Linked DNA regions of Elephas maximus indicus. The protein of the gene in region 3 interacts with the protein of the main gene of each other region in a biochemical or structural test. Links are inferred from orthologs where the notes say so. Each region holds a gene or a part of one and is shown on either strand. Other genes may lie near its edges. The genes, in order: UBE2R2, UBE2E3, UBA1 and UBE2L6.

What was found.
Region 1: of the proteins of UBA1 (region 3) and UBE2R2, one has a biochemical effect on the other in vitro, tested with the Homo sapiens proteins (5 studies listed by BioGRID, with this or other methods). The link is inferred for Elephas maximus indicus from reciprocal best matches to the Homo sapiens genes UBA1 and UBE2R2.
Region 2: of the proteins of UBA1 (region 3) and UBE2E3, one has a biochemical effect on the other in vitro, tested with the Homo sapiens proteins (3 studies listed by BioGRID, with this or other methods). The link is inferred for Elephas maximus indicus from reciprocal best matches to the Homo sapiens genes UBA1 and UBE2E3.
Region 4: of the proteins of UBA1 (region 3) and UBE2L6, one has a biochemical effect on the other in vitro, tested with the Homo sapiens proteins (2 studies listed by BioGRID). The link is inferred for Elephas maximus indicus from reciprocal best matches to the Homo sapiens genes UBA1 and UBE2L6.

Annotation. Positions count from the first base shown.
Region 1 is NC_064827.1:42,629,012-42,636,764, reverse strand, and holds the start of UBE2R2 (ubiquitin-conjugating enzyme E2 R2), read right to left. Parts: upstream 3,229-7,753; 5' UTR 2,597-3,228; coding exon 2,420-2,596; intron 1-2,419. UniProt on the Homo sapiens protein: E2 ubiquitin-conjugating enzyme that accepts ubiquitin from an E1 ubiquitin-activating protein, and catalyzes its covalent attachment to other proteins by an E3 ubiquitin-protein ligase complex.
Region 2 is NC_064824.1:79,193,033-79,200,531, forward strand, and holds the start of UBE2E3 (ubiquitin-conjugating enzyme E2 E3), read left to right. Parts: upstream 1-4,438; 5' UTR 4,439-4,545; intron 4,546-4,681; exon of another isoform or gene 4,682-5,048; intron 5,049-5,247; exon of another isoform or gene 5,248-5,458; intron 5,459-5,502; exon of another isoform or gene 5,503-5,550; intron 5,551-6,074; 5' UTR 6,075-6,099; coding exon 6,100-6,293; intron 6,294-7,499. UniProt on the Homo sapiens protein: Accepts ubiquitin from the E1 complex and catalyzes its covalent attachment to other proteins. In vitro catalyzes 'Lys-11'- and 'Lys-48'-, as well as 'Lys-63'-linked polyubiquitination.
Region 3 is NC_064846.1:124,611,402-124,619,420, forward strand, and holds the start of UBA1 (ubiquitin-like modifier-activating enzyme 1), read right to left. Parts: upstream 3,455-8,019; 5' UTR 3,249-3,454; intron 1-3,248. UniProt on the Homo sapiens protein: Catalyzes the first step in ubiquitin conjugation to mark cellular proteins for degradation through the ubiquitin-proteasome system.
Region 4 is NC_064825.1:118,988,969-118,996,538, reverse strand, and holds the start of UBE2L6 (ubiquitin/ISG15-conjugating enzyme E2 L6), read left to right. Parts: upstream 1-4,248; 5' UTR 4,249-4,397; coding exon 4,398-4,424; intron 4,425-7,570. UniProt on the Homo sapiens protein: Catalyzes the covalent attachment of ubiquitin or ISG15 to other proteins. Functions in the E6/E6-AP-induced ubiquitination of p53/TP53. Promotes ubiquitination and subsequent proteasomal degradation of FLT3.

The DNA.
Region 1 (7,753 bases), on a different chromosome or scaffold from region 3:
GGGAAAGCTCTGTGCCAACTTTTAACTGCAGCTCTAGTAGAACACACCAAAAGCCTTGTTTTAAAACAGAAGCAGTGAAAGAAAACAATGGTTTTAAATCTATCACCAGTATTAACTACTCATGACCATAAATTTGCCTTTTTCCAATGAAGGAGTAATAGCATTAAAAGCCATACAATAAAGGACAGAAGAAAATGCAATTAAATTTCTCACACAAGACTAGATTATGAAACCTGTTCAGGAATTTTTAAAAGAATATTTTTATGTCAGAACTAAAAGTTAAAAAAAAAAAAACCTCAAGGATTAAGAAATCTAGCACACACAAGGAAATGAGAGATTAAACCATTATTTTAAACAGGACTGAAGTTTAAAAGTATTTAATCAATGTACGTTCCAACAAATCCTCCTTCCACACTAACTATTTCATCAAATCGAAAGGGCTCTCCATATTCCTTCCCCCCTCAAAAAAAAACCAAACCCAGTGCCGTCGAGTCGATTCCGACTCATATTCCTTCCCCAGTTAGGGAAAAATACTACAACTTACAATTCATTATTTTCTTTCAGAGTTTGTTTTTTAAAGGAAAAAAAAAAAAAACAACCTGCATCGGAATGGGATTATTCTGAACAGAACTCATGTACCTTGACTATTAATTGTCCGAAAGAATTATACTTTTTAGGAAATTAAACTTTATTCCACTAGTTAACCAACAGATTTTGCTAAGTATTACCTCGCTAAAAAAGTCAACACATAAATTCCATTTTGTGCAAATATTTTTCCAACATCTATAAATGAAAATTTGTATGTGACAACACAGTAAAGAGGCCTCAACATAGACCCAGCAATATTTTCTCCAATTTATCACTAATAACTTGTACACTTACTTAGTGATTGTAAATACCTACATCTGAGAAGTATTGAGTATGCTCACCACAATAGATGAAACACATAGTTGGTAAGGATACTGCTCTCATACAATGTTATGAAAATGCTCTTTTACTAACTTATTAAGTGACTACCACAGGCTTGAATATTAAACACTGCCACATCAATCCTTCAAATTTTCTACAAAGTTGACCCAATTTCAAGCCTGAAACTGAGGCTTATACCTTTAGAAAACAAGGGTTAAGTAACTGGGTAGTCCTAAAAATACACATCATAACTACATGACTAAGATACTCACTTAAAACTTGTGCCAAGATAGTCCCTCCCTTCAAAACAAACTAAAACTGGCTCACCGATTCTCTTTTATTTAATTTTGGAAATAAAAAAATTAAATTAAATGGATTCCTAAGCACTCATTTCCTCTGTCTCTGTCCCCACCATTTAAAATATTCAAACTTTCAATCTGTGAGCCATCTCTGCAAAAACGCTAAAATAAAAACAAAGAACTAAGTCATATCTCCAAACTATCTACCTTAGGAGTTAAAAAAAAAAAAAAAAAAAAAAGCTAGATTCAGGAATGATAATGACCACGGTTCTAAATCGTGGAAAACAACAGAAACCATGTCTACAGTCGCTGTCTAAGGAGCCAGCCCTCCCTCCCAGTGAATCACCTCACCTCAGATACTTTTAAACCGTGAGACCACCCTATTTGCTTGAGTAAACCACCTGAGTAAAAGGTTTCAATTTTGTGTCCCTAAAGTGGGGAACTATCAATCTCCCTCCATGACATGTTCCACCTTCTATATGTAGATTATTTCTACGTGTAGGAAAAAGAGCCAAGTAAACTCAGTGGCAGGGTGAGGACAAAGGGCACTCTGAAATACCACTGAAGTAAACAGAGCATGAAGACAGGAGGCAAAATTAAAGTTCTCTAAAGTGAATAACGGCAAGAAAACGCAGACACTCTCTTTTACCACCCTAGGGTCCTAATCCCCATTACTGCCCACTGGAATGCAAAGTTGAACTACCACTCCCCAGGAAATCCTCAAAATGTCAGGTTACTAGGCAGCCTCCAGGATGACAAGTTAGTACCCCTTCCCCACCCCCACCTCCACCAAACAGAAAAGCCCAATAAGTGCAGGTCACCCTGCCCTCTGGGGCAGTTCCAGCCTGCGCAGGGATGGTTCTGATGAGAGGACGAGAAGGGACAGACAGACTACCTTTCTTCCCATACACCCTCAGCTAAAGAAACAAAACAAAGAGCTCTCCTTCCCCAGGAGCCACTACCCCCGTCGGAGGAGAGGCTTTCCCATTTCCCGGGGCAGAATGGCCTCCCCTCCGCCCCCGCCCCCATGACAAAGAAAAGGCACTTGGTGAGCAAGGCCTTCCTGCCTCCACCGAAGAGGGAGGGGGCTGCCAAGATGAGGAGCCCCCTCCACTCACCCGCGCTCCCACTCCTGCCCGGCAAACAGCGGAGAGCGGCGGGGAGAGCAGGGCTCGGCTGGGGAAGCCCGGTCCGGAGGGGGTGGGGGGTACCTTGAAGTAGCCGCCTTCGTAGAGGGTGTTAGGGGGTCCGAAAATGGCCACCTCCCAGTTGTAGAGGTCGGACTCGTCCACCAGGGTGATCCGGAAGCCCTCCACCGGTTCCTCCTGCAAGGATTTCAGCTCCAGCATTAGGGCCTTCTGCGAGCTGGTCATCTGCTGCTGGGCCATCGCGGCGGCGGCGGCGGCGGCGGCGGCGGCGGCGCCGGGGCCCCAGTCCTCACGCACCGGCCGGGCCGAGCAGGCCCCTCCCCTCCGCTCGCGCTCGGGCCGGGCCGGGCCGCACCGGGCCCCGGTCTTCGCCCACCAGGCGGGCCGGACCAGGCCCCAGACGGCCCGTGGGCCGCCCCGGGTCTCCTCACACACGACGCGGGCCGGGCCGGGCCGGGCCCTTCTCTTCACACTCAGGCCGGGTAGGGGAAGGGGTTAAGGGAGTTAGGGGGAATTCGCTCCCGGTCCTGGGCCTCCCCCCCCCGGAGGGGGCCTCAACTGAGGGGGGGGAGAGGAGGTGGAGGCGGAGGAAGGCGGCGGAGGGCCGGCGATGGTGAGCGGAGGGGGCCGGGCCAGCCCGGGAGCGCCGCGTTCGCTCGCCCTCTCCTTCTCCTCGGGGGCCGCCGGAGCCAGAGGGCGCGCGGGGCCGGACGGGGAGGGGGAGTGCGGCGCGCGGGGGTCTCGCGGCGGCGGCGGCGGCGGCGGCGGCGGCAGCGGCGGCTGCGCGGGGGGAGGGGCGATGGCAGCGGAGAAGGAGGAGAAGAGCTAGAGCGCCTCGCGCCGCGGGAGCGACCGAGCCGAGAAGAAGGGAGGGAGGGAGGGAGGAGGGGCGCGCGCCGCGAGGGGGGCGGCTCTCAGCGGCTGGCGGCCGGACGCGCGTGCGCGCGCCCCTCCCTCCTCGTCCTCCTCCTCCTCTTCCTCCTCCCACTTCCCCGCCTCCTTTGGTCGGTCCAGCGCGGTGGCAGCGCTTTGTGACGCCGGATTGTGGTCCCGGCTATTAAAGAGCCAAGCAGCGATAGGAGCCGAGGACGGTCGCAGGGGGCAGCCTTGCCCCCAAAGTGGCGGTTGTGCGGCTCCACGCCGCGGTTCCAAAGACACACCCTCGAAGGGACCTCAAGTCCTAGAACAGTCCGCACCCTCCTCCCTGCTACGAACCAACACGAGCCTGCGCCCTGCGTAGCCCTCCTCAGACAAGCTCCAGTCCTCTGCAGGCCCCTCCCCGTGACACTCATTCTGCGGGCGCTGCACCCAGTAGGCGCTTAGGTCCAGCCGTCATGCCAGTGTGTCCTTGGGCAAGTCATCCAACGGGGGGAGAAGGGGTACTGCTAGTTTCCCATCTGAGAAATGGGGGAAGATAGATGGGCGAGTTCCTATTTCTTAACTACAAAGAGGAAGGGGGTGGGGAGTAATGACAGAGACTGAAGCTGGGTTCCTGGGCCTTCCCTGCGAGATTCTAGGCAGGTCCTGTCGCTGTCCCTCAGTTTACCAATTCGTAAAATGAAGTACCACGGTTGGACGTTGACTCCTACAGATCTTTTCAGCTTGAAGTTTCAGCCTGGAACTGACAGACTTTTGAGATAATCATGATTGAAGTAGAGACAGTCTTTAGTTCCGGTGAGTTTAGAATATCCCTTTCTCTTAGGAATGCTCGTCTTATGATAATTGCCTAAACATTTTCTGGAAAAGCCAGGATGTGAGTGTTCCAAGAGACTCCGAACTTGGGGAACAGAAAGATCTTTATTTCAACTCTGGCTCCACCGTTTACATTACATTACCTCTCCCTGTTTCATCAGTTTTGTAAAAGGTGGTTAATTACACCTAACACAAGCAATTATTGTTATAATTAAATGAGATCACCTGTGTACAGTTTTTAGCACAGTGATCGGCACATGGTAAATGATCCATAAATAGGAGCTTTAAAGAAATACAAAATTTTTTAAAGGCATAGCTGTATTTTGGACGCCACCCCTTTTTTTTTAATGTACTTTATTTTTTACAATAGCTTTAGACGTACAGAAAAATCGAAAAGATACAACAGAGTTCCCATATACCCAGCACCCAGTTTCCCCTATTATTAACACTTTTCCTTCCTATGGTACATTTGTTACAATTAATGAACCAATATTGATACCTTATTACTAACTAAAATTAATATCACGCACAAGTAAAATTTAGCTGAAAATAATTCAAAAGTGATTACAGCAGTACATCAACAGAGAACTACCAGAAATTCAAGCCAGATTCAGAAGGGATGTGGAACCAGGGATAGCATTGCTAACATCAGCTGGATCCTGACTGAAAGCAGAGAATACCAGAAAGATATTTACCTGTGTTTTGTGACTATGCAAAGGCATTCGACTGTGTGGATCATAACAAATTATGAATAACATTATGAAGAATGGGAATTCCAGAACACTTAATTGTGCTCATGAAGAACCTATACATAGACCAAGAGGCAGTTGTTTGAACAGAGCAAGGGAAGGGGATGCTGCATGGTTTAAAATCAGGAAAGGTGTGTGTCGGGTTTATCCTTTCACCATACTTAATCACTCTGTATGCTGAGCAAATAATCTGAGAAGCTGGACTATATGAAGGAGAACGCGGCATCAGGATTGGAGGAAGACACATTAACTTGTGATATGCAGATAACACAACCTTGCTTGCTGAAAGTGAAGAGGACTTGAAGCACTTACTGATGAATATTAAAGACTACAACCTTCAGTGTGGGTTACACCTCAACATAAAGAAAACAAAAATCCTCACAACTGAACCACTAAGCAACATCCTGGTAAACAGAGAAAAGGTTGAAGTTGTCAAGGATTTTATTTTACTTAGATCCACAGTCAACACCCATGGAAGCAGCAGTCAAGAAATCCAATGACACATTGCATTGGGCAAATCTGCTGCCGAAGACCTCTTTAAAGTGTTCAAAAGCAAAGAAGTCATTTTGAGGACTGAGGTGCAGTGTTTCATTCTGTTGTACATAGGGGTGCTTTGATGTGTAACTACCTCAACAGCATCTAGCAACAACAAGAACATATTTTATTCAGATTTCCTTAGTTTTTACCTAATGTCCTGTTCCAGGATCCCATCTAGGATACCACATTACGTTTAGTTGCCATGTCTCCTTAGGCTCCTCAGGGCTGTGACAGTTTCTCAGACTTTCCTTGTTTTTGATGACCTTGACGGTTCTAAGGAATACTGTCAGGTTTGGGATTTGTCTGATGTTTTCCTCATGATCAGACTGGAGTTACAGGTTTCTGGGAGAAAGATCACAGAGGTAAAGTGCCATTTTCATCACATGTCAAGGGTAGATACTATCAACATGACTTATTACTGTTAAAATTGACCTTTGTCACCTGGCTAAGGTAGTGTTTGTCAGATTTCTCCACCATAAAGTTATTATCCCCCCTCCCCTTCCATACTATACTCTTTGGAAGAAAGTCATTATGTGCAGTCCACACTCAAGGAACCCCTTTTTTTTTGTCTCTTTTCTCAAAGATGAGGTCAGTAGTGTCACTAGGATGCAGAGGGTGCAGGCCACACCGGGTACACTGTCAGAGGGCATGACACCAAAATGAGTGTCTATAAAAATTTCGTGCAGTGTTTCAGCAGAAATTTATTATTTTTCATTAAAAAATCCCTGTAGTTAGTTATAACAAAGACATTTTTCATAAGCCCAGCTTACATGCATCAATATCCCTACAAAACTAAAACGCTGCTTATTTACTTTTTGAACTTTCTAATGTGGTCAGAGCTGTCATAATGACCCAATTACAGTGAGGCTTCAAATTGGTTTTGCCTGTCCACCCTAAAAGCACATGCTGTTGTTTTCGTTGCTACCAGTGTGTTTATAGTCACTGATTTTGTCAAATTTTCCGACATTTTAGCTACAATATTGTGGTAATCAGTATTTGTGAACCTATATCAATAACTTTTTTGAGAATGAAGTAGTAATTAAAGGAAAAGAAGGAGAAAAAGAAAGGCTTCCACTCAGTAATAATATTGTAACTAATAATGTAATTCAATGTAAAAAGATTTTACAAAACAGTTTTGTTGTTAGTATTCACATGATCTGGAAACCCTGGTGGCGTAGTTGTTAAGTGCTACGGTTGCTAACCAAAGGGTCAGCAGTTCAAATCCGCCAGGCGCTCCTTGGAAACTCTATGGGGAGCAGTTCTACTCTGTCCTATAGGGTCACTATGAGTCAGAATCGACTCAACGGCACTGGGTTTCTGGGTTATTCATATGATCTAAGAAATATTACACTTAAGTAATTTGTAACTATGTTAGTCACATTATTCTATGATTAAAATTTATAATAAACATTACTAAGGATTTATATGGTCTGGTATAGGAGGAGGTCCATGGGGGGATTAACACCATGAGTTACTGCACTGGGTGACGCCAACCCTAGTGACGCCACTGGATGAGGTTTCAGTATTTAAAGAATCACCCCTAGCCCTCAACACCATTCTCTGTCTTGAGACCAAACTCCACTGTAATTAGAGTTTCCCTGAAGGGAGAGGGAATGTCCTAGTCAATGCAGCCCCTTCTCAAAAATGATGGCTTATGACTGGTCCTGGCTCCCCTCCCCCCACCACTCACTTTAGGGACAAGAGGACTGCTGACCCAGAAAGGTGGGAGGTGATGTGGACACCTTTAATAACAAAGCTATGAGTAGACAAATAGGCAGAAAGTTAATCTTCAAAACATTTCACCCACATAAACTCATAAAAGCCCCACCCTGACCCAGAGGATGGCAGGTCCCTTAGTCTAACTCACTGGGACATACACCTGGCACCCAGATCGGAAGCTGCTCTCAGGGCTCAAATCGACTCACAAACTCATACCAAGTATCCACTGTAATCATGGCCCCAAGCAGGGTAGCTGGTAAACATACCTGTCTGAAGGCTTACACCCCAGTGTGCGAACAAGCTGTATATTCAAGGATCTCCATCCTCAGGTCAGAGGAACTTGAATTCCACAGGACTGGTCTCATGCCTTTTTAATCCTAGCAGGTAAGACATTGTTTATTAGTAGGCTGCAACTATGTCTTATTCATCCCCATATCCTCAACAAGCAGCACACCACCTAACACAAAGTAAACATTAAGCAATTGTTCTATGGATTCACAGCCAAGGGCAGGGAGACAATCAGTAATCAAAAAATCACAAATCTTCCACCCACCCACCCCTTCCCCTGCCTAATATGATCTGGCAGGCATACAGTAGGTACTCAAGACTATAAATTCTGTAAGGACAACGGGTCTTGTTCATAACTGTATACCAGCTACTACAATACTCAAAAGTGCTCAAAACATATTTGTCAAAAGAA
Region 2 (7,499 bases), on a different chromosome or scaffold from region 3:
CGACAAATTCGAAGACTGGCAGGTAAGCTGCTAGCTGAAGTCCCGAGAACTGGAAGTCAGACAAACAGGAGGCAGCTGCAGGATCCAGAGAAGGCAAAAGCCAGAACATCCACTTATATTCAAATGCAGGCTACATGCCCAAGGAAACTCCCTTTCAACTGATTGGCTACTCACAGCAGATCCCATCATGGGGAAGATCACATATAAACATGGAGAATCACGGCCCAGGCAAGGTGACACACAATCAACCATCACAGTGGGTAATTTAAAAAGATCTGGTTCCTTACCCTAACCTACACAGTTGCTCAATTTAGAAACTTCTTAGGCAACTCAAACTATTTCTCTCTTTATGTTTTTCTGTAGACGCACACACGCTTGCACGCGCACACACACACACACACGAGACCGACTGAAAGGCTCAGGAGATAGCATCTCCCAATCTAGGGAGACCTAAGGATTCTGGGGCCTGCCTTGCCCAGAGCCCAGTCCACCCCGTAAGAACAGGTCCCTTTTGGTCACAACATTTAGTGGGAAAGGGAAGAGGAGGTGGTGATATCTTTTGCAACTGGATTTAGTATCTTTTCTCTTACCACTGGCTCTCTTTCAGGGTGAAAGGTTGGCAGGATCCTCATTCCAATAACAGAAAAACAGGAGACTGAGATGGAAAAACCTTCCTGTGGTAGCTGGTGTCTGCTTTGTGGTGCTATTTTGAGGGGCCTTATGGGAAAAAAATTTATTATATGGCTTATGGAATAATTTGCATTAGGTTACATCTGTATGCCCCAGGGGGGCCTATAAAACTTGATCCCTAATTTCAAGGATAAAACCAAACCGAAACCTATTGCCATCAAGTTGATTCCAGCTCATAGTGACCCTATAAGACAGAGTAGAACTTCCTCATAGGGTTTCCAAGGCTGTGATCTCTACAAAAGCGCATTGCCACATCTTTCTCCCTTGAACTGGCTGGTGAATTTGAACTGCTCACCTTTTGGTTAGCAGCTGTCATGGATTGAATTATGTTCCCCAAAAAGTGTGCCAACTTGGCTAGGCCACAATTTCCAGTATTGTGTGATTGTCCACCATTTTGTCATCTGGTGTGATTTTTCTACATGCTGTAAATCCTACCTCTATGATGTTAAGGAGGCAGGATTAGAGGAAGTTAACGAGGCTGGACTCAATCTACAAGATTAGGTTGTGTCTTAAGTCAATCTCTTTTGAGATATAAAAGAGAGAAGTGAGCAGAGAGACAGGGGGACCTAATACCACCAAGAAAGAAGCACCAGAAGCATAGTGTGTCCTTTGGATCCAGGGTCCCTGTGCTGAGAAGCTCCTTGACCAAGGAAAGATTGATGACAAAGACCTTCCCCCAGAACCAACAGAGAGAAAGCCTTTACCTGGGAGCTAGTGCCCTGAATTCCAACTTCTAGCCTACTAGAATGTGAGAGAATAAATTTCTGTTTGTTAAAGCCATCCACTTGTGGTATTTCTGTTATAGCACCACAAGATAACTAAGATGGCAGCCAAGTGCTTAACCACTGTGCCATGGATTTCAAGGATAGACATGGCAAAAACAAGATAGAAAGAACTTCACATTAGAAACAACTCATAATTTACAAGTTACTTCTGGTCAATGTGGTAATGTCTTGTTACCCTGGAGGAGAGCTGTGTCAACCACTTGAAGGACTCCATTAGTCAGGTGAAAGAAGGCATTTGGGAACCTAATATTGTGGGAGAAGGTTGCTCCTATTCCTGCCCTTACGGAGCCATTCATTCTCTTTATCAGGACTGTAACAATATATTAACTACTATACAGAGGGTTGCTATGAGTCAGAATTGGCTCCATAGCAGCGGGTTTGGTTTGTTTTTTGGTATTTATTGAACAGATACTACGTGCCAGGACTTTGCCAGGAGCATTATCTATATTATCACCTACTGATCCTTCCAGGCTCTGGTTATTATTACTTCTTTTGATTCATATCACAAGCTGAATTAATAATTCCATTAAACCAAAACCAAACCCATTGCCATCGAGTAGATTCCAACTCATAGGGACTCTATAGGACAGTGCAGAACTGTTCTATAGGGTTTCTAGGAAACCCTGGTGGCATAGTGGCTAAGAGCTATGGCTGCTAACAAAAAGCTCAGCAGTTCAAATTCACCAGGTGCTCCTTGGAAACTGTATGGGGCAGTTCTACTCTGTCCTATAGGGTCACCATCAGTTGGAGTCTACTCGACAGCAACTTTGTTTTTTTAATAATAGGGTTTCCAAGGAGTGGCTGGTGGATTCTAACTGCTGACCTTTTGGTTAGCAGCTAAGCTCTTAACCACAGCGCAACCAGGGATCCAGTAATTCCACTGATAATTATTAATTGATAATTAATAATTCTCCACTCTCACCCTGTTCACTTTTTTAATAAAACACCAGTCTGTAGACTACATTTCTGGCTGCCTCACTACACAGTGAGCCCATTAAAAGGACCCATGTTTCACTTGATTTCTCCAGCATTTAGTAGTTTAGCCCTGGTGGTGCAGTTTTTAAGAGCTACAGCTGCTAGCCAGTTCAAATCCACCAGCCCCTTCTTGGAAACAGTATGGGGCAATTCTACTTTGTCCTATAGGGTCACTATGAGTTGGGATTGACTTGATGGCAACAGGTTTGGTTTGGTTTTTTGGAAGTGTTCTGTTGAGTGAATGTTGAGTGTAATGTCTGCCACGACTTCAAACTCATTGACGAATCATGGAATTTTTGAGCAACAGAGGACTTGGAACCTTTGACACAATCTCCTTTTACGCATAAGAAACATTAAGTTGGAACAAGTAACTTGCCTGAGGTTACACAAACTAATAGGTAGGATGAGAATTAGACTCTAGTTCTCTCGCTTTCCAACCAATGCAGTTTCTTCTGCAGAAAATACTCTACCAAAATACAACGAAATACCCTTATTCCCTTATCTCTTTGCCATACCCAAAGCCGAAGAACATTTGGGCCTTCAGGTTATTTCCCTGGTATTTCCTAAAACATCCCACTTTTGACATACAGTTTTCCTTTAACAGTCCCCAGTATCAAATAGCACAAAGCTCAAACTCCAAATTAGCCAGCTTTTGCTGTAGAGTCACAATGTGTCACAAAGTTGAGGAAACCTTCTGTCTATATTTGTACCAAAAACTCTTCCTACAAGCATCCTTTGGTCCAGCTAAATCAAAATGCTTGTCCATAACACATGCCACGGTCTTGCCTCACAGTTTCTTGAGACATGCTGTTCATTCTGACTGAAATATCCTTCCTCCTTATCAACCTGGTGAGCTTTAACAATTTGTACCTGACCTTAATCGCATGATACTTGAATGAGTAAATTTTGTGTGTCCAGCACCTAGCAACATAGCCCTCAATGAAGTACCCTGTGTCTTTAGAAAATGAGAGAAACGTAACTTACTGGTCAGAGTGGTGAACAACCTTTTACCAAAACTTAAGTAAAATGAGGAAAAACTTAACGAAAAATAAGTAAATGTGTTCTTTCACTCAGTCTTCTTCCTTTCTTTCCCTTAACTCTCGTTTGTCTGTTGTGGCTGCTATTCTCACTCCCTCTGTGAACTCCATATTCTCCCAGCAAACCAGCTCCTGGACACTTGAGAGGAATCCACAAATTCCTTTGAGGCTCCATCACTGGAACAAGTTCTCAGTAGCTAGAGAAGGTCTGGGCTGCTAACAGGAAGTTTTTGTACTTCTGGCTACTTTGTGCCTGGGGCAAAAACTGCAAAGTCCACCTGGAGACTCTACAGGATAGAATGGTAGAACAAAACTAACATCCACTATCTCCATTGAATGCTTATCTAGATATCACTCTTTCCAGAACTGGCGTCTGGCTTAGTACTTCAGAACAGTCTCCAGACCCCCGTGAGCTTCCTTCTTCCACCTTTAAAAATTTTCAGCAGGACATTTAAAAATTGTTTTGGATTTAAGTTTTCAAGCCTCCCCTTTGGAAGCGACAGCTGCAGGCTGACGGCCAAGGAAAAGCAGAAGCTGGTCCTCTGGTCTCGAAATCCCTTTCACTCCTCTCAATGTCCAGGACCCCATCTAGCCCCTTCGTCTTGCTCACATGAGGAGGAACAGGTAGGTTTCCTCCAACTGCGTCGCTGGCCTCCTTAACACCACCTCTCAGTCCTCCAGAGCCTGGGGCAGCTGGGGACTCCCAGCCACGCGCTCAGGGCCCTTGCCTAGGCGTTGGGACCCTGGGGCCCATACCCGACCCTGCGCAGGCTAAGGGGATGTTGCCAGCAGTAGGGGTGACCTCGGCTCGCCCGCCCTGAAAAGCCCTCCAGCCTCGGCCCGCGGGGCGGGTAGCCTAATGGGCAGCCTCCGCCCGGAGGCGGGCACAGGCCGGAAGCCACCCCGCGGCACAGCAGCCCCGCGAGACGGCGCCCGCGCCCCCGTCCTCTCCAGCGCCGGCTCCGCGGCCTCGGCCTGCAGGGGCCAGCCTGTAGGGGCCCCGCCGCGCTCTTTGTCCTGGACGCGCGCGGGCGGACGCGTGCGCCCCCCGGGTGAAGGTAGGCGCGGAGAGAGCGCGCGGGAGCGCGCGGGAGTAGCTCGCGCCCGCCGGCTGCCGGCGGCGCGCGCCCCTCCGCCAGGCAAGCGGCGAGCACGCGCGCCGGCCCGCGTCCGCCCCTCCCCCGCGCTCGCCTAGGAACTTGCTGACTGCGCGGCCGGGAGGAGCCGAGCCGGGCGGCGGCGGCGGGAGGCCACAGTGCGCGGGGGTCTCCCGCGTCCCCTCCGCCTCGCTGGGAGCTCGCGCCCTCGCCCAGCCGAGCTCCCACCCCCCGTTTTTTCCCGAAGGCGCTGGGCGGCGCCACCCTCCGGCCGGAGCCCGGCACTACACAGCCCCCTCCGACTTTCAATGTTCCACACTCCCCGGCCAGAGCCTCCTCGGCTTCTTTTTTTCCCTCCCCCCCCTTCCCCCCCCAACTGCCTCCATTTCCTTAAGGAAGGGTTTTTTTCTCTCTCCCTCCCCCACACCGTAGCGGCGTGCGAGCGGGCCGGGCGGGCGGCCGAGGTAAGGCAGCCGGGCCGGGGGGCCGCGTGGGGGGCGGCCGGGGCGGCGGCGGCGGCGGTGGGGGAGGGGGCGGGGGCGGGCAGCTTTGTTCGCGCCGGGCGCCCGCGCCGCCGGTGTCCGCGAGCCGCGGCGGGGCCGGCCGGGCTGCTCGCATCACTTGGCGCCCGGCGCGGCGAGCGCTGCCCACGGCCCCCGCGCGGCCCTCCCCACAAAGGGCCGCGGAGCTGCGTGGCGGCCGCCGCCGCCGGCCGCGGTTCGCCTCCACGGGCGCGGAAATTTGTTGCACTTCTTGGGGCTTTGTTTGTTTGTTTTTCCTGGGATTTTTTTTTCTCGTTATTTTGGACAAAATGTCGGTCCGTGATGTAAAAATTGAGCGAGGAACCTTGGTGGCATTGGGAGCTTTGCAGAAGGTGCAGTTTGGATTCTGCTTTTCCCAGGGTGGCAGCTCTCTCTTGGCCGGATGAATCTTCGCTGCTGGCCGTGGAAACGGCTAGAGCAGCTTGTTAGTTGATTTTTAAATTTCTAAATGTTGTGTTTAAAGCCTTACGTGCAGCGAGGAGGAATCGCCACGTTAAATAAGCATATGGGTGATTAACGGGGTATGTTTTCCTCTCGGAAAGGCAATTTGGTAGCTTTGACCAATGTCAGTGTGTAAATATTTAGACGTTATTAGTGACTTTTTAACATTTTTCAGCGAGATCTGTTATTTACAGTGTGTCATATGTTATTAATGCTCGTTGCCTAAGTTCCCTGGCAAATCTGTTTCATGCCTTCTGAGAAAGTAGACAATTGATAGATTGTCCAAGGAATGGAAAAAAAAAATGTGAGTGGGTTTTCTAACTTGAGTCCGGTAAATCCTTGAACGGTGGCGTTGTGAGACACATCGCCTCCCCTTGTAACCTTGTGTGAACACTTTTGAAGCCTTTTTATTAAAATTCGATTTTAATTGATTTATAGAAAATAAAATGCTATTGGTTTATTTCTTAGACTTAACCTTTCCTACCCCCCTATTTTTCTCTTTAAAAGTTTTCCAAGAAATAACTTCACCAAGATGTCCAGTGATAGGCAGAGGTCCGATGATGAGAGCCCTAGCACCAGCAGTGGTAGTTCAGATGCAGACCAGCGAGACCCAGCCGCTCCAGAGCCTGAAGAACAAGAAGAAAGAAAACCTTCTGCCACCCAGCAGAAGAAAAACACCAAACTCTCTAGCAAAACCACTGCTAAGTTATCCACTAGTGCTAAAAGGTAATGTGTTAAAAAGGGTTAAGCACATTGTCAGGTTGTCTTCCAAATGGTCGGACACTTTGTTGGTTTTAGATCAGTAGGAATAGTTCAAAAAATGCTTCACGATTGGTCTTATTTGTATTTGAATGAGTTGTCATTCTGTAGATGATATGTAAACCACTTCCATAGAATTATAGTTTTAAGCAAACTTATTCTGTACTTCAGTAACTTCAGCAAGAATGTACTTGAATAAAGATTGGACTACTATTCTGACATATTAAGGAGTTGGTGAAGGGAAATTTGTGAGCCCAAATTAGAGGTACAATGGGGATGTTTACTTTTTGAGTCATACTCTTTTCTTTATTGAAGTTGACACTTCTGAAGGTCACCAGTGCCTTTCCATGAAACTTTAGTGATCCAAAATAATCACATTTGCTGGAAAATCTATAAATTCAAGGTCTTGGCTATATGTGAAAGCAGATTTAAAATCGTGCTACAAACTGTTCTCAGTTTCACAAACAAGTCTTTAAGTTATGCATCCCAGGTATACTTTAAAATGATGGTTATTCCTCTGTGCCTGTGAGGGCACATAAAACTGCAAGGCAGCCGTTTACAGTTTTAAGTGTCACTTGGCTATTGAAAACTTTCATCGTCCTTGTGCAACTTTTTACACTAAAACTTGTGGAGACACTTGACACATTAATACTCAACAACAAAAGAAACATTTTGTTGGATATAAGTGAAAAATTGCTTGTTTCATGTTGATTTATATGTATTGGAGAGAAAAGATCCTATCGGTGGGGCTCCATCCGTGGGGGTAGTTGTGGAATATCCATGAACTCTAGGAATTATGTGGACAGAGATACATCAGATATATCTATTGAATTAGTATTGACATTCTGTTGGTTTTTATTGATCGCAACTAAAGGGCAAAGAAAATACAAAAACTGATCAAATATTGTGTTTTGTAGTGATTCTAAAATATTCATTTTTCTACAGATTTTCATATCTATTGTATAATAATCAAGCATTAATAACTTGAGAATGTTTTATTAAATAGCAGCAGTCTTTGAAATAATTTATAATTCAGTCTTTTTGAAGAACGTACTAAATTTTAAGTTTTCAAAGCATTTTTCATTTGAATAAAATCAGAGAACTGCTTTTTTTCCTAACTCAAGGCTATATATGTTATTACCGCTTCCCCCAAATTTATTAAATTTAAATGCT
Region 3 (8,019 bases):
AGCAAATGTTAAACATGGAAGCCACGCCCCACCGTTTATGAATAATGAATAATCCTGCAGCAGCCCGGAAGCCAAGGAGACCAAAGCCACATCTTATTCATGAATAATGCATAACGCCTATTGGGCTGGAACAAAAGGCACAGGCCCGCCTATTGCTGCACTAAATATCCAGTAAGCAGGGAAATGGGGCTACTTACTGCAGAGAAACTACACTTCCCCGGATCATGAATAATGAATGACACTGCTGCAGCAGCTCAACCTGGAAACTCAGAGAGGTCAGAAAAATCCCACCCAGTTTCATGAATTATGCACTATAAAACAGCCCCCTGCCAGCAGGGAGGGATTATGGTACTACTGCCTAGTTGCCGAGACAATGTGGTCACGCCTCCCGGTTCATAAATAATGAAAGACAATGCTGCAGAGTCACAGAGGGAATGATGTCCCCTCCTCGCCACCCCTGAACTGCTCATGAGCCAGGACTGCCTTGATCCCACCAAACCCAGACTCACTACATGCCTTTGGCAGATGCCTCAGTTTCCACAACTGAAAATGGGTATAGTAACAGAACCCACCCACCTCATGGGGTTGAAATAAGTTATTATGAAAATTAGAGGATATGAATTATGGGACGAGATTAGACCACTGCTGGCACAAAAACACTTAAATTTTTAAAATATTACATAGTAATATAAAGGTAATTTATAAATATGTATTTATATTAATATGAAATTAGTTCTGGGTGAGGGTATACCCAGTCACTTGAGAAACCCCCACTTGGAGCATTATTTAAAAAATAATGCTGTGAAACACCCTCCCGGAAGAATACTGGAAAACAGCATGATAAGGCAACCAATGTCTGTGAAATAAGTAGGACAGTCTACCAGGTCACCAGATACAACCATATGCCAAAGCCCCAGGCACACAGTAAGAACTCAACACATTTCTGTTAAATAATAACAGACCACAGTAACTAATCCCCTACTAAGTGGTAGCTCCTGTGGTGTGTCCTTTCTATGCATTGTGCCACTGATATCCTCTTCAGGAAAACACCGTGAAGGTGGTGCTTTTATTAGCCCTGTTTTGCAGAGGAGGAAACAGGTTCCTTCCGGTTCTTCAGGTCTCAACTCAAATGTAACCTCCTTAAAAAAAAAAAAAAACTTAAACCCTTACATTTCTGGCCACCAGTTGCTGGCTGTGTGGCCGGGGACCAGACACTTCACCTCTCTGGGCCTTGGTTTCCCCATCCATAAAATGGTAATAATAATAGTAACCTACCTTGTGAAGGAGTTTAAATGAGTAAATATGTACAAAGCACTTAGAACAGTGCCTGGCACTGCTATATGACTAACATTAGTGGTAGTACTATTATATTGGGGAGGAGTGGGGAGGCATTATGGCACTTGGTTAAGACTGCAGACTCTGGAACTAGACTGGGTTTGAATCCTGGCTCAGCCACTCACTGGCTGTGTAACCTTAGGCAAATTACTTAGCCTAACTGTGTCCCAGTTTCCTCATCTATAAAAGGTGATAATAACCTACCTCCCAGAGTTGTTGTGAAGATTAAATGAGCTAATAAAGTGCTAAATGAGTGTTTGCTAATTTTATTATCATTATCCTCATACCCATTTTTCAGGCTCACAAAAGCTTTGCCAAAGATCACACAGCTGGCAAGGATTGATGAGATTTGCATCCAGAGTTTTTGTTGATAACATGGGATACTGGGCCATAAGGAATTATGAACAATGCATGAGGCTCCACTCCTTCGCTAGATGCAAGGCTTATACACTGGAACCTACGAGGGAAAGCTAACCACGGATCATGTAGAAGAGGCCGCAAAAGCCATGCCCCTCATGAATTATACGCAATGCCCCTAGGAAAAGAAGCCCTGGTGACACAGTGGTTAAGCGCTCCTGTGCTAACCGAAAGGTTGGCTGTTCGAACCCACCAGCCGCACTGTGGGAGAAAGATGTGGCAGTCTGTTTCCCTAAAGATTAAAAAAATCTATCGCCATCCTGTCGATTTGGACTCATAGCGACCCTATAGGACAGAGTAGAACATCCCCCTAGGGTTTCTAAGGAGCGGCTGTTGGATTCAAACTGCCGACCTTTTGGTTAGCAGCTGAGCTCTTAACCACTGCACTACCAGGGCCCCTCTGTAAAGATTACAGTCTTGGAAACCCTATGGGCCAGTTCTGTCTGTCCTATAGGGTCACTATGAATGAGGATTGACTGGAAGGCAATGGGGTGGGAATGGGCCCTTAGAAAGGCCGCAGAAAACATGAGGCTCTACTCACCTGCATGAATAGTCAATAAGCTCTAGTTTGGTGTGGCAGACCCCAAACCCAGCTTCAGCACACTGACCCGCCCCCTCGTGAATAATTCACAACTCAATACTTACAGTGGACCAGGTGTGAAAGAGGCAAAAATCTGCTCCTCTCAGGAAAAGCCCAGCAGACCGGGCTCTGGAGTCCCTGGGCACAGCATGGGGTCGGGGTTCCTCTCCCCAAAAACGTGTGGACCCCGACGTGCTCAGTCTCACCACCCTGGCTCCCCAAGTGCAGAGAGTACCCCATCATGGAACCATCAGAGGTCACAATGGCCATGAATACCTTCCAAATGCCACATCGGTCCTGAACGTTCTTAAACATTGTCAGCGGGACACTTCCTAATATAAACTCTCCCAAAATTGCGCCTTGACTTCAGGAACCTCAAACTCCGCCTCCCTGCTTGGGGGACACCTCAATTCCTCCCTCATGGACAGAGTACTCAAACGTGGACCCTAAGGGTCTCTCCCCCCGCCCCCCAAAAAGAAAAAAAAAACCAAACCCGTTGCCTTCCCGTCGATTCCAACTCATAGAGACCCTGTGGGACAAAGCCGAACTGCCCCATAGGGTTTCCAAGGCTGTAATCTTTACGGAAGCACACTGCCACATCTTTCTCCCCCAGATAGGGTTCGAACGGCCGACCTTTCGGTTAACAGCAGAGCACTTAACCACTGTACTACCGGGGCTTCTTGGTCTCCCCAAACATCCCCCTAAACACTGCCTCCGAGGGGGTATGCCCCAAAACAGGCTTCCAAATCCCACCCGGAGTCCTCAAATGCCACCTCCTAAGGATCCTTCCAAAACAGACACCCCTAAATGCTACCCTGGGCCTGGAGCCTCCAAATGCGCCCACTAGGGGATTCTGAAGTTGAGCGCCCTGTTCCAAATGCTGTCCAAGGGTTGGGGGCACTGTGCTCCATCTTACCCCCTGGGCCGGGCGGAAGCCTCGCCTTCCTGCTAGAGATGAGCCGATGCCACGGATCAACGGAAGAGCAAATCACCTCCGTCGTGCAATAGGAGCCAGAGTTTGCTCGGAGTTCAGAAGCGCGGGGCCTTAGAGGTCCCCTGGGCTGGGCCCTACCACAGACGCTTGGCTAGAGGGGCACCTGTCCCTGCTTCCGCGCAGCCAGCGCCCGTTTCAGACCCAGACACCCCTACAGACCGTGGTAGTCCCGGACGGCGCGGGGCATGCTGGGGGTGGTAGTCCTGTCTGGCCAGCGCCTGATGCACGTGGTGGGCATCGGCTCCCAGGGTAAGGGAAAATGTAAACCTGGGCCGCGGGCGCAGTGCTCTTGGGGGAGTGGGAGAAGGGAGCAGAACGTGGAGGTGCTTCCAAACGGAAAGGCACACCCACCCTACAGAAGGGGAGACTGAGGCTCAGGTGGCCAGAGGAGTTCATTCACTTGACATCTATGGAGCTTAAACTGTGGGCCAGGTGCTCATGGAACTGACATTCTAGCTAGACAGACAGACAGACCATAAACATAACAAATAAGTAAAAAATCATAATTTCACATATAAATATGTATTATAATAAACATGTGACATAAATTATGTGTAATGTACAATTTTTTTATCATGATAAAAATTTTTTTAACATGATAAAAAAAATTTTTTTTTTAACCTAGCTAGTATTTATTAAAATGATTTACATCTGTATATAATAAATTTGGAGCCTTAGTATTTATTAAAATGATTTACATCTGTATATAATAAATTTGGAGCCCTGGAGGCATAGTGGTTAAGAGTTCAGGCTGCTAACCAAAAGGCCGGCAGTTCAAATCCACCAGCCGCTCCTTAGAAACTCTATGGGGCAGTTCTATTCTGTCCTATAGGGTCGCTATGCGTCGGAACCGACTCAATGGCAACGGGTTTTGGTATAATAAATTTTTTTTATGTTAAATACATATATTAATGTGTGAATTATATAAATAAATATTTATTGGTAAAGTAGAGAGGCTCAGTGAAAACGAGGGAAACCCTTTAATGAGATGGACTGACATAGAAGCCACAACAATGAACTCAAACAGACCAATGATCATGAAGATGGCACAGGACAGGGCATCATTCTGTATACCTGAGGCCCACTTAACAATAACATTGTATACATATGCTAACTTCTAAATGCTATGGGGGAAAACAGGACAAGGTAAGGGGAATCTGTGGGGATAGGCTGCAATTTCAGACAGTGTGGCCAGTGAAGGTTTCACTGAAAAGATGACATTTGTGCCAAGGAGTTTATTTAACACAGAATATCTTTATCACCTTATCCCAAATTCTGTATCTCATACCCTGTTAGCAACCTCCAAATTCGTTCATTTGAAAATGATTTATTGAGCGCCCACTAAGTGCAGGGCCCTGGGGATATAGCAAGGAACATAGCAAGGGTCCCCTTGCAGTTGTCAAGATCTTGCATCACCTCAGAGAAGCCTTGCCTGATACCCACAGTCTAAAATAGTCAGGGAATGCCTCTCTGAGGAGGTGACATTTGAGCAGTGAGGGAGTGAGGAAGTGAGCCATGTGTAAATGTGGAGGAAAGCATTCTAGGCAAAAGAAACATCAGGTGCAAAGCCTTGAGGTTGGAAGGATCGTGGCATGATTCTGTGTAGATGGAGAGGAATGAGGAAAACCAAAAAAACTAAACGTATTACCACTGAGCTGATTCTGACTCATAGTCCCTCTATAGGACAGAGTAAGGGAGGCAGACTGTCACACCTTTCTTCAGCAGAGCAGGTGGTGGGTTCGACAAGCCAACCTTTCAGTTAGCAGCCGAGCTCTTAACCACTGTGCCACCAGGGCTCCTTGAGGAATGAGGAAGGGAAAGTATTAGGAGATGAGATCAGACACCAAATCAAGTAGGGTATTGTAAGCCAGGCTGAGATGTTTGTTTGGCTTTTACTCTAAGATCCGTAGGGAGCCTTAAAAGGGGTTTAAGCGGAGAAGTGACATAATATAAATTATGTTTTAGAACAATCTGGTTGCTCTGTATGGAGGGACAAAGAGGGTTATAGGGGCAAAGGTGGAAGAATCGAGATCTGTGAAACGGCTACTGTAAGAGTCTAGGAAGTGATGAGAGGATCAGACCAAGATGGTGAAAGTGGAAGTGGTGAGGAGTGATGATTCTGGATTGATTTTGAAGGTAAGGATGCCAAGGTTTGCTGAGAGATCAGATGTAGGGCATGAAAGATAGAGTCCTGGCTGACCCCCCAGGCTTTTAGCTTGAGCAGCTGGAAGGATAGAGTTGCCATCAACTGACATGGCACATAACTCCATTACGAGCAGATATGGGGGAAGATCAGGAGTGTGTTTTTGGACATGATAAGTTTGGACATGATTATGGGGCCCTGGTGGCCTAGTGGTTAAAAGCTCGGCTGCTAACCAAAAGTCAGCAATTTGAATCCATCAGCAGCTCCGCTCCTTGGAAACGCTATGGGGCAGTTCCAATCTGTCCTATAGGGTTGCTGTGAGTAGGAAACGACTCAACAGCAACAGCTTTGGTTTTTTGTTGTTGCTGTTAGACATCCAAGTAGAGGTGTCAGTTGAGTGAATAGCTGGGGACCGGGTCTGAAATTCAGGGGTTGGGAATAGGTCTGGGCTGGAGATACGGATTTGAGCTCATGAGAGGTGGAAATTGATGCCATGGATGTGTCAGAGTTCTTCTCTGAAGAACTGATTGCCTTCAAATGTCTCAGAGGCAGTAATTGAGGCCGAATTTGACTTGGACAAGCAAGAGGGGAGAGTTGGAGGAAACTACTTGAGCAAAAAAAAAAAAAAGCTTGTGGAGGTAAGAAAGAGGGGAAAAGTAGAGGGAGAGGTGAGGGGAAAGGCATTTTGCATTGCCTTCAGCAACATAGAAGAGTGCCGGTTTATTCACAATCTCACAGAGTGTATTGTCAAGCTTTTGGATGTTTGTCAATCACTGTAATTAGAATTTTCATTTCTCTTATTATGAGTGAGTTTAAGTATCTTTTCACAGATTTGAAGATAACTGCATTTTTTTTTTTTCTGGGAACTTTCTGTGCATGTCCTTTGCCTCCTTTCTATTGGGTTGGTGTACTTACGGATTTTCAGGAACTTTTTAAAAATAGAGTCTTGAGGATGAGAATGATTTGAACAGTTGTGGTGTGTGCATTTATTCACGTTTCCAATATCTGGTACGCCAAACCCTACTCTAGGCACTAGGGATACAGCGGTGGACAGGACAGATAAAAATCCTTACCCTCATGGAGCTTGCACTTCAGTGATGGAGACAAACCATATAGAAAAATAAATAAAATATACAGTACATTAGAAGTTGAGAAGTGCTATGGAGAAAAGCAACGCAAGGAAGGGGCATAGAGAGTATGGTGGAGGAGGGGTTGGAATTTTAAATAGGGTAGTTAGGGCAATCAGAAGTGACATTTGAGCATTCAGATGTCTCACCTCTCTAGTCTCCTTCAGTCTTTCCTTGATTTTCATGACCTTGACACTTTTGAAGATTACAGTTATTTTGTAGAATGTTCCTCAGTTTGGGTTTGTCTGATGTTTCCTCAGATTTGATTCGGGCTCTGCATCTTGGATAGGAATACACTGTATCACAGAAGTGATGCTGTCTTCTCATTTCATCTTATCAGGTGGTGTACAGTTTTAATACTGATGATGCTCACTTTCATCCCTTGATTAAAATGCTATCTGCGAGGTTCTCTACTGTAAAGTTATTATCTTTTCCCTTTGTAGTTAGCAAGTATTTGGTGGTGAAGTACTTTAATACTATGTAAATATTGTTCCTCATAGAAGTTTAACCCACTGAAATTCAGAGGGTTTTATCATTTGTTTTATAATTATTAGACGACATTCTATCGTAAAGAAAAGCTTTCCCTCCTCCATTTGTTTCCTCATTTATTCCTTTATTTATATAAAAAAAATTATATAAGTATGGATTAATGGATTCTTGCGCTTTATCAAAGTTTTTTCTGTGGTTGAGATTATTGTTTCCTTTTAGTCAGTTAATATGTTGTTGTTAGTTGCCATTGTGTAGATTCCACCTCAGGGTGACCCCACGTGTGCAGAGTAGAACTTCTTCAAAGGGTTTTCAAGGCTGTGACCTTTCAGGAAGCAGATAGTCAGGCCTGTTCGCCAAGGAGCCTCTGAGTGGGTTTTGACTAGTATGTAAGCATTTAACCATCGTGCCACCAGGGTTCCTTTTTTAATATTTTGTTGCCATTTTGTGCCTAAAATTTTTTATAGTCTTCCACATAGAAATGCTGAGAATTTCCCACAATAATACTGTTGTGTTGTTGACTGCTGCCAAGTCAATTCTGACTCATAGCAACCCTATAGGACAGAGTAAAACCACCCCCATTCAGTTTTCTTTGGCTGAAATCTTTATGGAGCAGATTGCCAGATCTTTTTTCCCGTGGAGCTGCTGGGTGGGTTCGAACTGCTGACCTTTCAGTTAGCAGCTGAGTGCTTTACCCGTGCCACCAGGGCTCCTGTTGATAATAGAGGACTATATATAAAGCTTTTCTGACGTTGACTCAATTTTGCATTCCTGGGATAAACTTTATTTGATCAAAACGTATTTGATAAATATACTATTGGATTCATTTAGCTAATATTTTATTAAGGATTTTTGTATCTACAACTATACATGAAATGGGCTTGAAAATTTTCTTGTATTGTCTCATCTGTTTTGGGGACCAAGATTATACTAGCCT
Region 4 (7,570 bases), on a different chromosome or scaffold from region 3:
AAAGTCTCTTGGGCTCATATTTACCTTGTGTCTTTGGTGTTCTTCATTCGCTTTTGCTCCAGGTGGGTTGAGACCAATTGATACATCTTAGATGGCTGCTTGCTAGCTTTTAAGACCACAGACGCCTTGCACCAAAGTGGAATGCAGACCCTTCTTTTAATACATTTTGTTATGCCAATTGATCTAGATATCCCCTGAAACCATGGTCTCAAGATCGGCGTCCCTGGTCCCTGCTACTCTGGCTTTTTAAGCTTTTGGCTGTATTGAGAAAATTTCTTATTCCCTGCAACCTTTTGTCATCTACAAAGATGTGCATCTCTTCTACTCATTGTTAAAACCCCAAGTCCACAGAGTAGGTCCCTTTGCAGTGTCAGCACAGGGCCTCACACAATAGGTGCTCTTAAGTGTTGTAGATTGTATGAATAAATGACAGGGACTGGATCAGAGAGAGGAAGGAAACCTGGTGGCGCAGTGGTTAAAGCACTCAGCTGCTGGCTGAAAGTTTGGCAGTTTGAATCCACCAGCCACTCCTCAGGAGAAAGATATGGCAGTCTGCTTCTGTAAAGATTACAGCTTTGGAAACTCTATGTGGCAGTTCTACTCTGTCCTGTAGGGTCGCTATGAGTTGGAATAGACTAGATGGCAACAGGTTTGGTTTTGGTTTTTGGATATGTATGTATGTATGTATAGAGAGACAGAGAAGACAAATGAAATGGCTCATGTGTTTGTAGAGGCTAGCAAGTCCCAAGCTGGTGGGGTCAGGTGTCAGGCTAGAGGCTTCTCCTGACTCACATAGCTGCAGGGCTGACGAAACCCATGATTGGCAGGTAAGACCGCAGGCTGCTGAGTCATAGGCTGCAGAGGCTGAAGAATCCCAATATCAGTAGGCAATACTGCAGGCCACTGGCTCAGATCCCTAGAACCAGAAGTCAGATGATGATAAGCTGGATGCAGGATTCAGAGCAAGAGAGTGAGCTTTGCCAAAATATCCATATATGGTATGCAGGCCACACCCCCAAGGAAACTCCCCTTTCAACTGATTGGCTGCTTGCATCAGATCACAAAATAGAGGATGATTACATCAAATCACAAAAATGGAAGGTAACTACATCATTACATAACTGCCAAATCACATCATTATATAAATTCCAAACCACTGGGAATTATGCCCCAGCTAAGATGATACGCAACCTTAACCATCACAAAAACCCTACAGAGCCAAGTTCTACTCTAACACAAAAGGGGTTGCCATGAGTTGGGGTTGCCATGATGAGTCAGAGTCACTATGAGTCCGAGTCACCTCAAAGGTAACTGCTTTTTAACTCAGAAAGATATGTCATTGCCCAAAGGCAGAAAGCTCAGGAATCTCTGTTCCTCCCACCCAGCACCCCCTGGGCAGGCAACTGGCATCATTTAAATAATAATAAGTATTATTATTATAACTATCGCTTATTGCCCACTGTTCTAAATTCTTAAGTTCTTTACAAGTATCAAATTATTGCCCCTCACGTCTACCTGTGAGGTATATACTATCATTAGTCCCATTTTACAGATGAGAAAACAGAAGCATAGACAGGTTAAGTACTCTGCCCAAAGTTATTTAGCCAATAATGGTGGAGTTGGGATTCCAACCTGATTATTTATATCTTGGGCTTGCTTATAATTTTTGAAGCTCCTCCACTTCCATGAGCTTAGCTTTTCCACAGTCCTGGGAGGCAGGTAGGTCCACTATGAAGGGGTTAGGAAGGTTCCATGGCCCACCCAAGGCCATACAGTATGTGTGAAACCAGAACCCAGGCTCCTGGCTCCCAGCTCAGGGTTTGTTCTGACAACAAAGGTCCACATTGTGCAAGGATGTGACATATGGGTCACCCAGCTGTGCAGGACGGAGCTGGATCCATACACATATATACACACAATGCAGACACATATACACATTCACTTCCGGGCAGGCAGGGGCACTGGGGTCACAGCCTGCCTGCAGGAATGCAGCGTTTCTGGAATAGAAGGGAAGGAGAAACAAAGGGCATAGGCAGAAACTTTTGCTCCACATCATGAAACCACTTTCAGTTTCCATATATACTGCCATCATGTCTTTAATCAGGCTGTTCCCACTTCTAGGAACACCCTCCTCCCATGTTCTCACTCCAGCTAACCTATCAGACTTCACAACTCATTTAGATTTTTAACTCTTCCAGGAAAGCTCGCTCCTCACCCCAGGGCTGGGTACAGTGATGGCCCTCCTCATTTCCATAACACCATATGATTGCATGTATCTTCATGTTCACCTCTTTGCATTAAAAACACAGAGGCTACATTCCCTCCCCCCGTCCCTATAATCTGAGAGCTCCTTAAGGACAGAGACCTCACTTTCTTACTGTGGCATCCCCAGTCCCTAAGGGCAGTGCCTGGCCCATGGCAAATACTGAATATTAAGTGTTTGTTAAGGAACCAGCCAACGGCTCCTGGAGAGAAAGACCTGGTGATCTGCTCCTATAAAGACTACAGCCTAGAAAACTCTATGGGGAGCTCTACTCTGTCACATGGGGTCCCTATGAGTCAAAACAGACTTGAAGGCACTTAAAACAGCAACTGAGAAGATTGACCAGACATGGGTTCAAATCCCAGCTATTGAATTCAGTTTCCTCATCTTTAAAACAGAAATAAGTCTACTTGCTTTAGGGGATTTTAGACAGTGTCCTAATCATTCCTGGCATATAGAAGATACTCAGTTCAAGTTTGTCGAGTTAAACATCGTTTGTCCTGCAGATACATCCCACATCTGAGCAGAGAAGTCAGTTGGTACCAAGACAAAAACTGTGTGATACTGTTATGGATTAAATTGAGTCTGCCCCCAAAATATGTGCTGGACTCCTAACCCCCATGCCTGGGGATGTAATCCTGTCTGGAAATAGGGTTTTCTCTGTTATGTTAATTAGACCATACACAGTACAGTGGGCTCTAAATCTAATCACTTCTGAGTTACAAAAAGAGTACATGAGATGCAGAGAAATGGGAACACCAGGAAAATGGGGGACACGCTATGTGTCAATCATCTATAAGCTAAGGGACCAAGGAATGTTCGGAAATACCTACAAGGAAGGAACTGATACCACCAAGACCCCGATTTGGACTTTTAGCCTCTAGAACTGTGAGGAAATAAATTTCTGTTCTTTAGAGCCACCCACTGTGGTTAAAGCATTAGGTAATTAAAACAGGTACCTAACTCTGAATCTGGTGCTCAAAATATGCCGATTTCTTTCCTCATCTGAGCTGAAGTGGGGGGCTGGGAGGGAGGAGAAGAAGGGCTCAGAGTCTAGGAGATTCTGGGAGTCCCGAGTCTGGGAGGCTCTTTCTCAGACACTGCTGCTTGGTACTCAGGGGCTGCTGTTTCGCGGTGGGCTCAGATTCGGCTGGGGCAGGGGTCTCTGCCCTTGCCCAGAGGGGTGGAGACGCCTGCTGTGTATGGGGGCACATAGTAGGCCCCCAGTGTGTAATGGATCAGGGATAATATAAGGGAGGCTGAGTAGCTTCCCCTGGGGGAAGGCTCCTGAAATCCGTCTTGGGGCTTTCCCACCCAGCTGTTTCCCAGACGAGCATGAGATCGGCGCTGATGAAATACTAAGCCTGGGTTTTTTGGTGGGCAGTCAAGGACCGAATGAACAGGCGACCGACTCGCAAAAACAAGAGAGAAAGGGTCCAAACAGCGCCTCCTTGTGGGGCTTTTCACCAAGCACCCTTCTGGGAGAAACATCCTTGTAGGTCCGCCGCCGAATGCTGGACAGCACAAAGAACCCCAAACTCTCATTTTTAGAGATGGGGCACTGGGCGCAGAGAGAAGAAGGGTCCTGTCCAGGCAGGTCCAAGAGTTTGCTAGACGAGGGGTTTAGGGCAGTGGTCTGACGGTGGAGGCCGCCGGGGGACCTGTCGCGGAGCAGAGTTGCATCCCTGCATTTACTTAGGGTGAGCGTGTATTCAGGACGACGAGGAGCCGGCTGATGGAGAGGAGTCCCTGGGACAGTCCCGGGCAGAAACTAGCACCCGGATGAGCAGACCCCAGCCCCGCGCTCTGCGCGCTCACCGCCTGATGCAGAGCGCCCCCTACCGGGACTCAGAGACCAGGCACGCCGCGCGCTCCAGGGACCATCCGTGCCCCCCAACAAAGATCGCGAGCTGTCCGGATCCGAGCGCGCGGCTCTGAGGCCTGGCCGGGTTCTCCCCGCAGGGCCCCCTCTGTCTTCGAAAAGCCAGTGGGGAACAGGTCTGCTGCGTCCGGCGACCGCACGGGCGGAGCGGAGCGTAGGCGGGGCTCCCGGAGGTGGGGTCCCCGGGGCGGGGCGCCTAGTCTCCTCGCAAGGTCGGCTGGAGTCCGCTAGTGCCCCACACTCGGTTCCGAGATGTCAGCGAGGAAGCGGGTGGCGAAGGTAACTGCGTTTGGGACACTCCTTCTCCCCCGCTCCTCCTCCCTCCATCTCTTTCCCGATTCCCTCCCCCCTCCACCCCTTCCTCGGCTCCCTGCCCCCTCCGCCCCTTCCCGGGCTCCCTACTCCCTCCATCCTTTCCCCTGCCGGCTCTCCGAGCGCTCGCAGTAGTCCAGGTACTGGGGCCGGCTGAATGCCTGTCATCTCCTGCTCCCTAACCCCAGGGGAGAAGGGGGTCTGCGAGGGGTCAGGGAAGTGTTTTTGGGGGGAGGGGGCATATGGGGTGTGGTGTCGCTGGTTCCCTGAGCCGTGCTGGGGGTGGAGTGAGCCGATCGGATTCCCCCCCCGCCCCCCCAACTGGTTTCAGTTTCACTTCTGCCAGAAACTTGTGAGAACATTTACGTGCGTCTCTGGTGCGGGGAGGGTTTCCTGGCCTCATCCTGGTGGCAGGCGCCCTGCTGTGGGTGGGGAGTGGGCTATGCACAGAGATAGGGGACAAGGTACTTTCCTCGGAATAGTCTATGGCCCGTCCTCTGGGCTGATACCTGCTTGACTAGGGTCCAAAGCAGCATGGGGTGCTGACCCGGAGTAGGTCAAAGTTCCCTGAGCGCTCTGTGGAGAAGATGCTGAAGCAGAGCAGGGAAGGCTCCTGGAGACGGTGGCGCGCGCCTGCCTTGTTCCTTGTTCTGCAGTTGCTGTTCAATGCCTACTGTATGCTGGCCCTGTTCTAGCTGGTAGGGAGGCAGAGGTGAACAAAGGACACAAATCCCTGCCTTCCTTGAGCCTTCGTTTTAATCAGGGACACAGTTTGAGATGAGGTCTGGAAGGATGGGGATGGAGCAAATTCCACCAGGAGGTGGGAAAATCCTGGGTGGTTGGGGGGGGCTGGGGTGTAGCTGGAGATGGAGAAAAATCCTGGTGAAGTGGATCTGACACCCCCAGACTCTGAGTTCCTCTAATCTGCAGAATGGAGTGGAGGGGCTGAGGGGAGTGCCTGCTACCCCCAGCCTCTGAGAAGAAGAGGGTCTCAGTCTGGGTCACCCAGAGTAGGCTCAACCCAGAAGAACTGAAATCTGAAGGGCGACTGCTAAATGGAGCAGGGGTTTTTCCAGTAGGAAAGAGATGGAAACCAGTATTTATCACACTGGAGTTCCTGTGTGGTGCAAACTGGTTAACACACTTAGCTGCTAACAGAAAATTTGGCAGTTCAAGTCTACCCAGGTGCCTTAGAAGAAAGGCTTGGCAATCTACTTCCCCAAAAATCAGCCATCGAGAATCCTGTGGAGTACAGTTCTGCTCTGACACACATGGGGTGGCCGTGAGTTGGAATCGATTAGATGGCAGCTGGTTTTATTTATCACACTGGCATCATTACGTGCCAGGCAGTTTACATCAGTTGTTTCATCCAATTCTCACAGCAACCCTGTACTCCCATTTTACAGATGAGGAAATTGAGGCTCCGATAAAATAACTCATTTATCCAGGGTCACTGAAGAAGGAAGAGATGGGGCTGGGATTTAAGCTGGGTCCTCAGGACTCCAAACAGGCTCTTTCAATGGTCACTCTACTTTCATTTTCTCTTCCTCTAAGTCAGGTGATTTCTTAACAGGCCTCAGGAAGGAGCCTTGTGTCCTAGCTCAGGTTTCATCATCCTCAGGTGTTGCGAAAGCTTTGGCAGAACTCACCTGTAATAGATAAAATCCGAAATGTTCCTGTTAATAGTAAAGTCAGGGAAAAATGTCCATTCCAGAGCTTCTCTATTCACCCTTGGGCTTCATTGTTGCCCCCAAAATAACAGATGATACCGGAACCCGATTTGTAGTAAAAGATGCTTCTAGTTTGGGGCAAAAAATAAATGAAAAGTCATAGAATCTGGGTAGAAGGTGTGAGAAGCAGTGTGTTGGAGTGAAGGGGCGGGGAACAAAGGCGTGTTTATATTTTGGGAGGGGGAAATAGAAAGTTCGGATGGTCTACAATGTTAAAGGACCCCTTCTCAACTGGGAACTGGGTTTGGGGAACGTTCTCTCTGCCCTTGTTTCCACCAGAGCTTCTCAACCTCCTCACTATGGACATTTGGTCGGATAATTCTTCGTTGTGGGAGGTTGTCCTGTGCACTATAGGATGTTTAGCTGCATCCCTGGCCTCTACCCACTAGATGCCAATAGCATTCCTGCCTCCCATTTATGGCAACCAAAAATGCCTCCAGATATTGGCAAATGTTCCTGGGCGGGGGTGTGGAGGGGGGGGGCTCCGTAAAATTTCCTGTAGTTGAGAACCAGTGGTTTATACCCATTTGGTGTTTCACAGACGTATGACCTGCCCTTGAATGTCATTTTTATGTTGTTTTGAAAAAAATGTTCTGTCATCAGCAAAGGGCGAGAGGTTGCTTGGTCAGATCCATTTGAGAAGTACTGCATGCTATGGGCTCACGTTTTGGGGATTCACAATATGCAATAACAAATTAAAGGCTCTGGAAATCCCTGCAGTAAGGAAACCTGTTTAGCCCAGTGTTTCCCAAACATACTCATCCATGGAACCCTTTTCCTGTAATAACTATTGACTTTCCATGGGACATTTGCCCTAATTGGGCCTGTCTTGGTGCCCCTCAACTTCTCTGCGTGGTGGACTCCTGTTTATTCTGCATGGCCCGGCTCACCATGTGCAGCCCCTGTAAGCCTTCCTGTTCCCATCTCTCTCCTCATTAATGCATCCACACACGTCATTCTCGTAATTGCATTCATGTTTCCTCCATTACTCCATGGTTGTTCTTGAGGCTTGAGCCATGTCGTGGTCCCTAGAGCATGCTCAGTCAATGGCTGTTGAGGTCATTGGGTGATGGCCAGGTGATTGGGCCACATTTCTGAGAAGGTGAGTCCCTGCCTGTCACTTATTTCTCTGCTTGGTGTATAGAGTTCTTACCTGCTGTGGTCTGCCTGAGTTGTTTTCCTTCCCCAACCCTGGGCGAGTGGAGTCTGACAAGGCTGAGGCGATGTCTTTGCCACCCACTCTGCCATGAGCACTGTGTGTACATCTCATCATGCTGGGCACTTGGCGGATGCTGATGGAAGGAAGGGAAGGAGAGAGAGAATTAAGACCTAGTGATTTTCTAGGAAGAGGGCAAGAGGGTTAAGCACCTTGGTTTCAGGGGA